2 linked regions of the Saccharomyces cerevisiae S288C genome follow. The gene in region 1 interacts genetically with each later gene. Each region holds a gene or a part of one and is shown on either strand. Other genes may lie near its edges.

What was found.
Region 2: mutations in SIS2 (region 1) and PSD2 together harm fitness more than expected from each alone (negative genetic interaction), as found in Saccharomyces cerevisiae (2 studies listed by BioGRID).

What each region holds. Positions count from the first base shown.
Region 1 is NC_001143.9:576,418-580,178, forward strand, and holds SIS2 (phosphopantothenoylcysteine decarboxylase complex subunit SIS2), read right to left. Parts: upstream 1,707-3,761; coding exon 18-1,706; downstream 1-17. Other genes in the region: YKR073C (uncharacterized protein), read right to left, coding at 1,770-2,090; AIM29 (Aim29p), read left to right, coding at 2,792-3,259; YKR075C (uncharacterized protein), read right to left, coding at 3,410-3,761. UniProt on the Saccharomyces cerevisiae protein: Component of the phosphopantothenoylcysteine decarboxylase (PPCDC) involved in the coenzyme A synthesis. Acts as an inhibitory subunit of protein phosphatase PPZ1, which is involved in many cellular processes such as G1-S transition or salt tolerance.
Region 2 is NC_001139.9:835,500-839,260, reverse strand, and holds the start of PSD2 (phosphatidylserine decarboxylase 2), read right to left. Parts: upstream 2,120-3,761; coding exon 1-2,119. Other genes in the region: LSO2 (Lso2p), read left to right, coding at 2,596-2,874; pseudouridine synthase PUS6, read left to right, coding at 3,358-3,761. UniProt on the Saccharomyces cerevisiae protein: Catalyzes the formation of phosphatidylethanolamine (PtdEtn) from phosphatidylserine (PtdSer). Plays a central role in phospholipid metabolism and in the interorganelle trafficking of phosphatidylserine.

The sequences.
Region 1 (3,761 bases):
TGTAATTCATAGACTATTTATTGATGCTTATCTATTATACCTGGGGTTTCTGCTTCGTCCTCGTCCTCGTCATCATCGTCGTCGTCGTCGTCGTCGTCGTCGTCGTCGTCGTCGTCATCGTCGTCATCGTCATCATCATCGTTGTTGTTTTCGTTCTTATCTTCTGTATCTTCTTCTTCGTCGTCGTCTTCTTCCTCATCCTCATCATCGTCCTCTTCCTCGTTATTTTTTGGGTACCCACCCAATTTCATAACGATTTTGTTAACAATCTCATTCCAGTCCATCATACCCCCGAGACCAATATCACCATTTATATCCATAACTTTCTCAGACGGCTTGAAAACAGTGACCCAGGACATTTCCTCCTTTATCGTTTGTAGTTGCTTCTTTGTCATCATAGAATTAAAAGTGCTACTCACCATAGAAGGTGCCAAAAGAATGGGATAACTCGGATTCCAAGCTCTAATGACACTTGTCAGAAGATTGTCGCACAGGCCCAAAGCAATTTTTGATAATGTGTTTGCAGTTAATGGAGCTACTACCAGTATATCCGCCCAGCGACGTAGTTCTATATGAAGTACAGGATCAGTTCGTTGTTTCCATGCGTCCCATTCATCTTGGTCGGTCCATAGTTGAATATGTGGGGGTAACTCGACTACTTGAGCCATGTTGCATTGTCCTGGTGTTGGTGTCACTGGAGTTGCCGGAGTGGATTCGTACTGCGACATTTTATTTAGTTTTTCTGAAGATTTGATAATTTTCTTGGTATATCTTTGTTCGAAAAACTGTGTTGCTGATTGAGTGAGGATAACTTGAATGCTTATTCTATCACGTCCATATATTTCTTCTAGTTTTTTAATCATTGGCTTGATCTTAAATACCGATAACGAACCTGTAGCGCCAAACAACACGTGCAATTTTCCATCATCTTGAGGTAGTCTGGGATCCAAATTCTTGGAGTTCTCTCTTTTGGGGATGATGGAAGGAATGACGGACTGCTTCACTGGCGTTTCTTCCGGGGTAGAACGCACATTAATTTGGCCTGAAACATTGTTAGCTTGATCTTGTGCATCTTCCTTTCGAAGTGTAATACTGGTGGGGGCTTTGGCGGTTACCTTATTATTTTCTCTACTTATTGGCGTTGAAGTGGCCATGATTTTGTCAGGCTTCATGGTATCAACTATTTTAAGAGCACTGTCTTTTTTCTTAGGATCATAATCTTTCATTTCGTTGACGAGTGGAGACCCAGATAATTGCGTTGTTCTTGAAGTGTTGGTGTGGTTCGGTATAACTGCATGATTGCCAGGAATGGAATTTGAGACAGGAGCAGGATTACTATTTGGAGACTTGGTCCTTTCTGAGTCGTTCTTCAGCTGAGTCAGACTATCCTGCTTTTGCTGTTGCTTTAGATCACTGAAAGTGACGGCGGGGACTCTCTTCAAACCAGGCTCCGGAGTATTACTTACTACTGCGCCGGAGGTGCCGGTGGCATTCATAATAGATTTCGTAGTCGTGGTAGTAGCATTCGACAAAGTAGGGCTTATTGATTGCCTCCCTGACACGGGGGAGTTGATTATTGAATCCTTCCCCTTCGCATCCTCATGGTCCAACAAAATCTCTTTCTGTCCACGCGAAAACCTTGGACACTCTATAGACTGGTTATGGTCAGCATCTTGCTTCCCGCTAGTAGAGGCGACGGCAGTCATTGCTGTTTGCTTCTAGATCTTTCTTCCCTATTAATTTTTTCCTAACTAATATTTCTTTATATTTTATCCCGGAATATAAAGTAGTATGACAGCAAAGAAGGCCAGGCTAAAAAAAGATCTCTCCAAATGTAACTGGACGGCGCTGATAAGTGGACAAGTACAAGTGAGGGATCGTGATCCAAGAGCACTCTGTGACTTCTTCTCCTCTAATATCACCTCCCCAGAAAAGCATCGATGCCATTTTTTGCAAGAGAAAAAGTTGCGTGCGTCACTGCCCACGAGCACATGGGGTGAGTTATATAACATAAGAATATTGCTTTGACTCATGTTAAAAGCAAAAGAAAAAATAATAATGATCATTAGAGATACATCAAAGACGATCATGGCATTAACCCAGGGTACGTGTGTTAGATATGATAGGGTACCCCGCGCGTATAAGTTACGCCTTGAATGATATAACACGTTAAAGTTTCTAGATCACGTGAATCATTACCATTTTTTAGGTCATCCTACGGATAATGGCGAAACCACATAATTGCTTTGTAGATCTCTTTTTATGCTGGATGGATGGCCCTCTGGAATGCATCCTTCACGAACACAATTTATGAAACCTCAGGTTTGATGCTCCGGAAAGCCTATTTCTCACGTTTTCCGGCACTTAATGCGCATATAAAAACATAGTCTCTACGTTACGAGGATTTATCATAGAACCCAAATCAGCAGTAATAAATTTCCACGGTCAAATTAAACTCTTGTCGTTGATATGGGTGTAGTGTGATGGTGGTGACCACTATTTCGCCTTTATTAGTTATTTATATGAGTTAGCCCTCCGAAGAACTCATCCTTGTTAGCTCAGTTGGTAGAGCGTTCGGCTTTTAAGCGCATTTGCTTAAGCAAGGATACCGAAATGTCAGGGGTTCGAGCCCCCTATGAGGAGTTCTTTACTTTTTTAGATTCGGCGTTCAATGCTAAAGAAAAAAAATGAAAATAAGTTTCAATTAATAGTGAAAGAAAAGGAAGGAAGTTAGAACTGAAATGCGTAGACTACCTCCCCCAAATTTTTTCTTGTTTGGTTGCATTATTTCATGAATTCAACTAAAAGGCTGAAAATGTCAACAACCTTTCATGATTATGACTTGGAAGAGCCATTAACCTCAAATGCCAGACCACTAAAGAACTCCGTTATTACAATCCGAGTAATAAAATCTTTCCCATATAGAAACGTCAAGAACATAGTGCTGCACGATTACGATCTTGCTGATAAAACTGCAAAGGACCTGTTCAATGACGTTTTGAACAAAATTCAAAATGAAGGTTCATTCAGACCATTCCGTAATGTTAAGTTTGATACTTTAAAGATATACACGCACGCACATGGTTCCAAGACGGTTAATCTCGTGATCAATTTTGACCACGATGACGACTGGACTTTAGACATAGAGAATGACAAAAAAAAGCTGTTCGAGTATGGCATTGAGAATGAAACCGAAATTTCGCTTTTCAACAAAGAGGATTACCTAAGGTTTAAAGAAAACCCTGAAGAAAAATGGTGAGATGTTGTTTGGCTTATGGCCTTCATTAATAAGTAAGTGCTATGAATATATTACATATATATATATATATATGTTGTGTACGAGAGTATACTCGTATGTAAATTAACATCAAATGTGTATGTGGAAATGCAGAAGAGAGCAAACTCTCCTTTAAAAAACAACCTGGTTCCTATAAAAAATGTCTTCTTCCATAGTGCCAAATGTATAGTTGCTGAACTCATAATGAGCTTCTTTTATTGTTTCATCAGAATGAGAACTATTTTGATGGTGATGGTGATGATGGCGACGATGGTGACGGCGATGGTGGCGGGAATGTTGGATATCGTTTATGTTGATGAGGGATTCGCGGATAGTCCCCTTTGAGTCGATCTCCCTCTTCATCACGGCTTGGTTAAACTTCAACTTCCTGGGGAATTGTTCCTTCTTTTCGTTCATAAGGTCTTCAGAATCTTCATCTATGGAGGAAATTTTAGTGCATGTAGAATGCTGGTCGAAAATGGAA
Region 2 (3,761 bases), on another chromosome or scaffold:
TAAAATTAGTGGATTTTCTCCATGACTGTAGCCCTTCAACTAATTGTGATCTAGTAATGCTCTGGCCGGCCCAAGCAGATTTATTGAAATGCTGAAAGAGTTCAAAAGAATCGGCCATCGTGAATGAACCAAGACGTTCAAGATAGAGCATTACTTGAATAATGTCGAGTCTCTCTAAGTTGACTGATGTGTCAACAGCTTCTTTCCAAAAGCTCTTTTTTAAGAACGGATATGAAACATATTTGAAGCTCGAATATAATACCGGTTGCTTAGGAGCATGTGCTGGCTCAACAGTGAGATCCAATGGTATCTCATAAGGTATCCATTCGTTTTCATGTTGTTGCTGTTGCAGCATATCAAACCAAGCCAGTTCGCATTTTGCAACGTCATCATTGAATGAAAATGAGTCTTTATCAACAACTTTGATACTGAAAGCAAAATTCGTTTCATGGGGAAAAACTTCGAAAGCGGCATATTCATTAAATTCTGGGTTTAAAGTATGTTTTCTCCAAGATGTCTTGAATACTCTTCTACCAAACGAAATAACGATAAATGGATCCATTTCATAATTAGTCTTGGACAACCGATTCCTTAATGCAGGTAAATTTTTGATAGCCCCAATATGCATAAATACTACCCCCATCGCATGTTCCTTTTTCGATATAAAAAAGTTACTTTTTGCTCTTCTGTATAAGTAATTTGCATATGATTTATTATGTTTACCCCTTTGCAGGTGTAAAAGCCGACTCCCAATGTATTCTTTTGATTGAAAATCAGAATCTTCACGCTCATCCTCATTATATATATCAAACTCCTCATCACTTTCCTGTTGGTTTTCAGATTCTTCGTCATCCACTGATGTTATGTCATTTTCCGACACTGCAGGTAATTTTGCAACATCTTCTGGTTCTACGATATCATATTCATCTAAAGCTGTTATCATTGAAGATAGACTGATACGGGTATCTTCGTCGATGTCATGCACATTTATGTCTGGCACATTTGGATGATCTGCTTCTTCAAAATCATTTAGAATATCTAGTTCTTCATCATTTAGCGAAACAACCTCAGATATAGAGTCGAATATAGTATCATTGTCTATATCGTACCTCCTCTCCGTACAAATGCTGCCGCTGCTATTCATATCTTCAATAGATTCCTCAGCATCTATTTCATCCTCGGCATTGACCTCTTCATCGTGGGCTAGATCAGTATCGCTATATGGTTTCTCGCGTCGTATTTCATTTCCACTAACAGCTGAACTATTGCTCAACATATCTTCTAGTGGAGGTGGCAAAGAACTAGAAGATCTCATGCGGGCCTTATTTCTATCTATTCTGCCCAAGTAAGTGTTCAACTCATTTCTCCAAGCATTGAAAGCCTGAAAAGTCGGGGTTCTTTTAACGTTACATTCTAGCTTAAATCCAAGCAAAATATCGCCCACTAGAAAGTTGCAGTTCAAGGAATCTTGGTCTTTCCCTCCTTTCATATCGTATAGATGGTACCGCTGAGCTTCAATTGAAAATTTATAGCTCGTCGTGGTGTCCTTCCTCTTGAATAAATCCAGTAATGAAATTTTTGCTTCACCCAAATATAGATAGCTATTAATCCTATTTTTGTGTGTGGACCCGGGACCTGTTGTTGAGAGAGAAGAGGAAGAATGTGAAGGGGCCGGTGTAGCTGAAGATGATACTGAATTAATTGATGTTGAAGTTTGATTACCTTTGGACGTAACATTCAAATTTCTCGACGAATGAGAGTGAGAACTTAGCCCTGAATTTGACAGTGTCGATGAAGATGTATTTGCAGTGGTTGTCCTTGGTCTACTGGGGGTAGTAGGGGGAGCTCCGGTTGGTAGGGCGTCGTATACTATAATCCTTAACCATTCAGATGTTGGATTTCTCGGAAGTTTGATCCTCAAGGTTTGATTCCAGTGTGTATTTGAGTTCTTGAGCTTGTTCGTCTTTTGACTATAAAATGTATTAGTGGTAACAAAACATACCGGGTTACAATTGAATGTCTTCAAGGCTTCAATATTTTCAGCTTGAATGACATGAATTTTTAAAATTAGCGTTGGCTTCTTGTTCTTGCCTCGCTTTCTGCCCTTAATAATCCTCATCTTCGTCGTTGGATGCTCCTGAAAATCGAGGATTCTTTACCAATTGATACAGCATCAACCACTTTGGGCTAGTTTTAGCATCAAATTGGAATAGTTGTCATATATAAGAAGAATTCCTTGAAGTAGCACATGCGTTAGGGCTAGGATCTCAAGTTTCCAAGAGTTTGACATGTGCCCTGCTTTTTTGTCTTTCTCCTTCTTCCAAACCTCATTTTAAAGTAACATAACCTTTGTATTTTTCATATTAGCCCTTAGTTTTTTTTTACCCTAAAAAAATTTTTTTTTTTTTCTTTGAGTCGTGAAAGCTTTTTTTTTCCAGTTAAAGACCCCTCAAAATGAAAAACTTGTATAATGTTTAAAATAAAGCTGAATAAGTTGAAACTCAAGTTTATATTTAATAGGTAAAAGAATTTATCAATTGAGCACAAAACCTGCCTATACAGGAAATAATAGAATAGCAAAGAGGAAGTAAAAAGATGGGTAAAAGATTTTCAGAATCCGCCGCAAAGAAAGCAGCTGGCTTAGCAAGAAAAAGAGATCAGGCACATGCTAAACAAAGAGCACAAATGGAGCAGCTAGAAGCGGAGGAAGCTTCTAAATGGGAACAAGGTTCGAGGAAAGAGAATGCCAAAAAATTAGAGGAAGAGCAAAAAAGACAAGAAAAAGCAAGAGCTAAAAAGGAGCGCGATGCGTTGCTAACCGCAGAGGAGGAGCAACTGGGCAAGGGTGGCAAGGGTAAAAGAAAAATGAAATAAATTTGAAGAATCTTAGCCTTATAGCGGCTAATAATTGCATATGATAAAGTCATTCCCACTTTATCTCCATAAACATAAAAACGCAAGACAAATAACGACAATAAAAGTAACAGTGGTAATAATAATACTTCTGTATGAGGATGCTTATCTTTTGCGGGTTGAGTACAAAAATACACATGGTAAGAAATCACTGTTCAACGTTATAAGAATAAAGAGGGACGAGGAAGGATAATGCAAGTGTAGTTTACAGTAAAAAGAATGACTTTATGGTACTAATGGTATGAATAGTTGAAATTATGTACATTAGATTTGCATATGTATGTATATATAGCTTGCTGTCATACAAGAAGATTGATAACAATGATAAAAGTTAATGAAAAATTTACTTTTTTTCTTTCATTAAAAGGCAAATAAATGTTTCTTGTGAAAACTTTATTGACGATTGCTCGAGACAATCAGTGGGCAAAAGGATGATTGTCAAGTATGTCAACTATCAAAGTTATTGAGGTATATACACAGAATGGACTGAGAAAGGTACGGCCCTATTATAACAGAAGATCAGCGTTCGTGAAGGGGCGCTGGTTGGGTAAGTTACTAATAGACGTTCTCGTTAGTGAATTTAAACTTCGCCCAAGAGCTTATTATTTGGACCAAATAAGGAAAGGCACATATAGGTTGATCCGAGATGGTGTGCCGCTGGTACCAGATCATCTCATGACTACCATAATCAAGAATCATGATGTTTTAGAAACAACTACGCATAAGCACGAACCGCCGGTAAAACAATGGTGTAGCCAGGAAGTTGAAGCGGAGGATTTACCTGGCAGAATAGCGGGATTCAATATTGTTTTTGAAGATGAGAGTATCCTCGTCATTGATAAACCCAG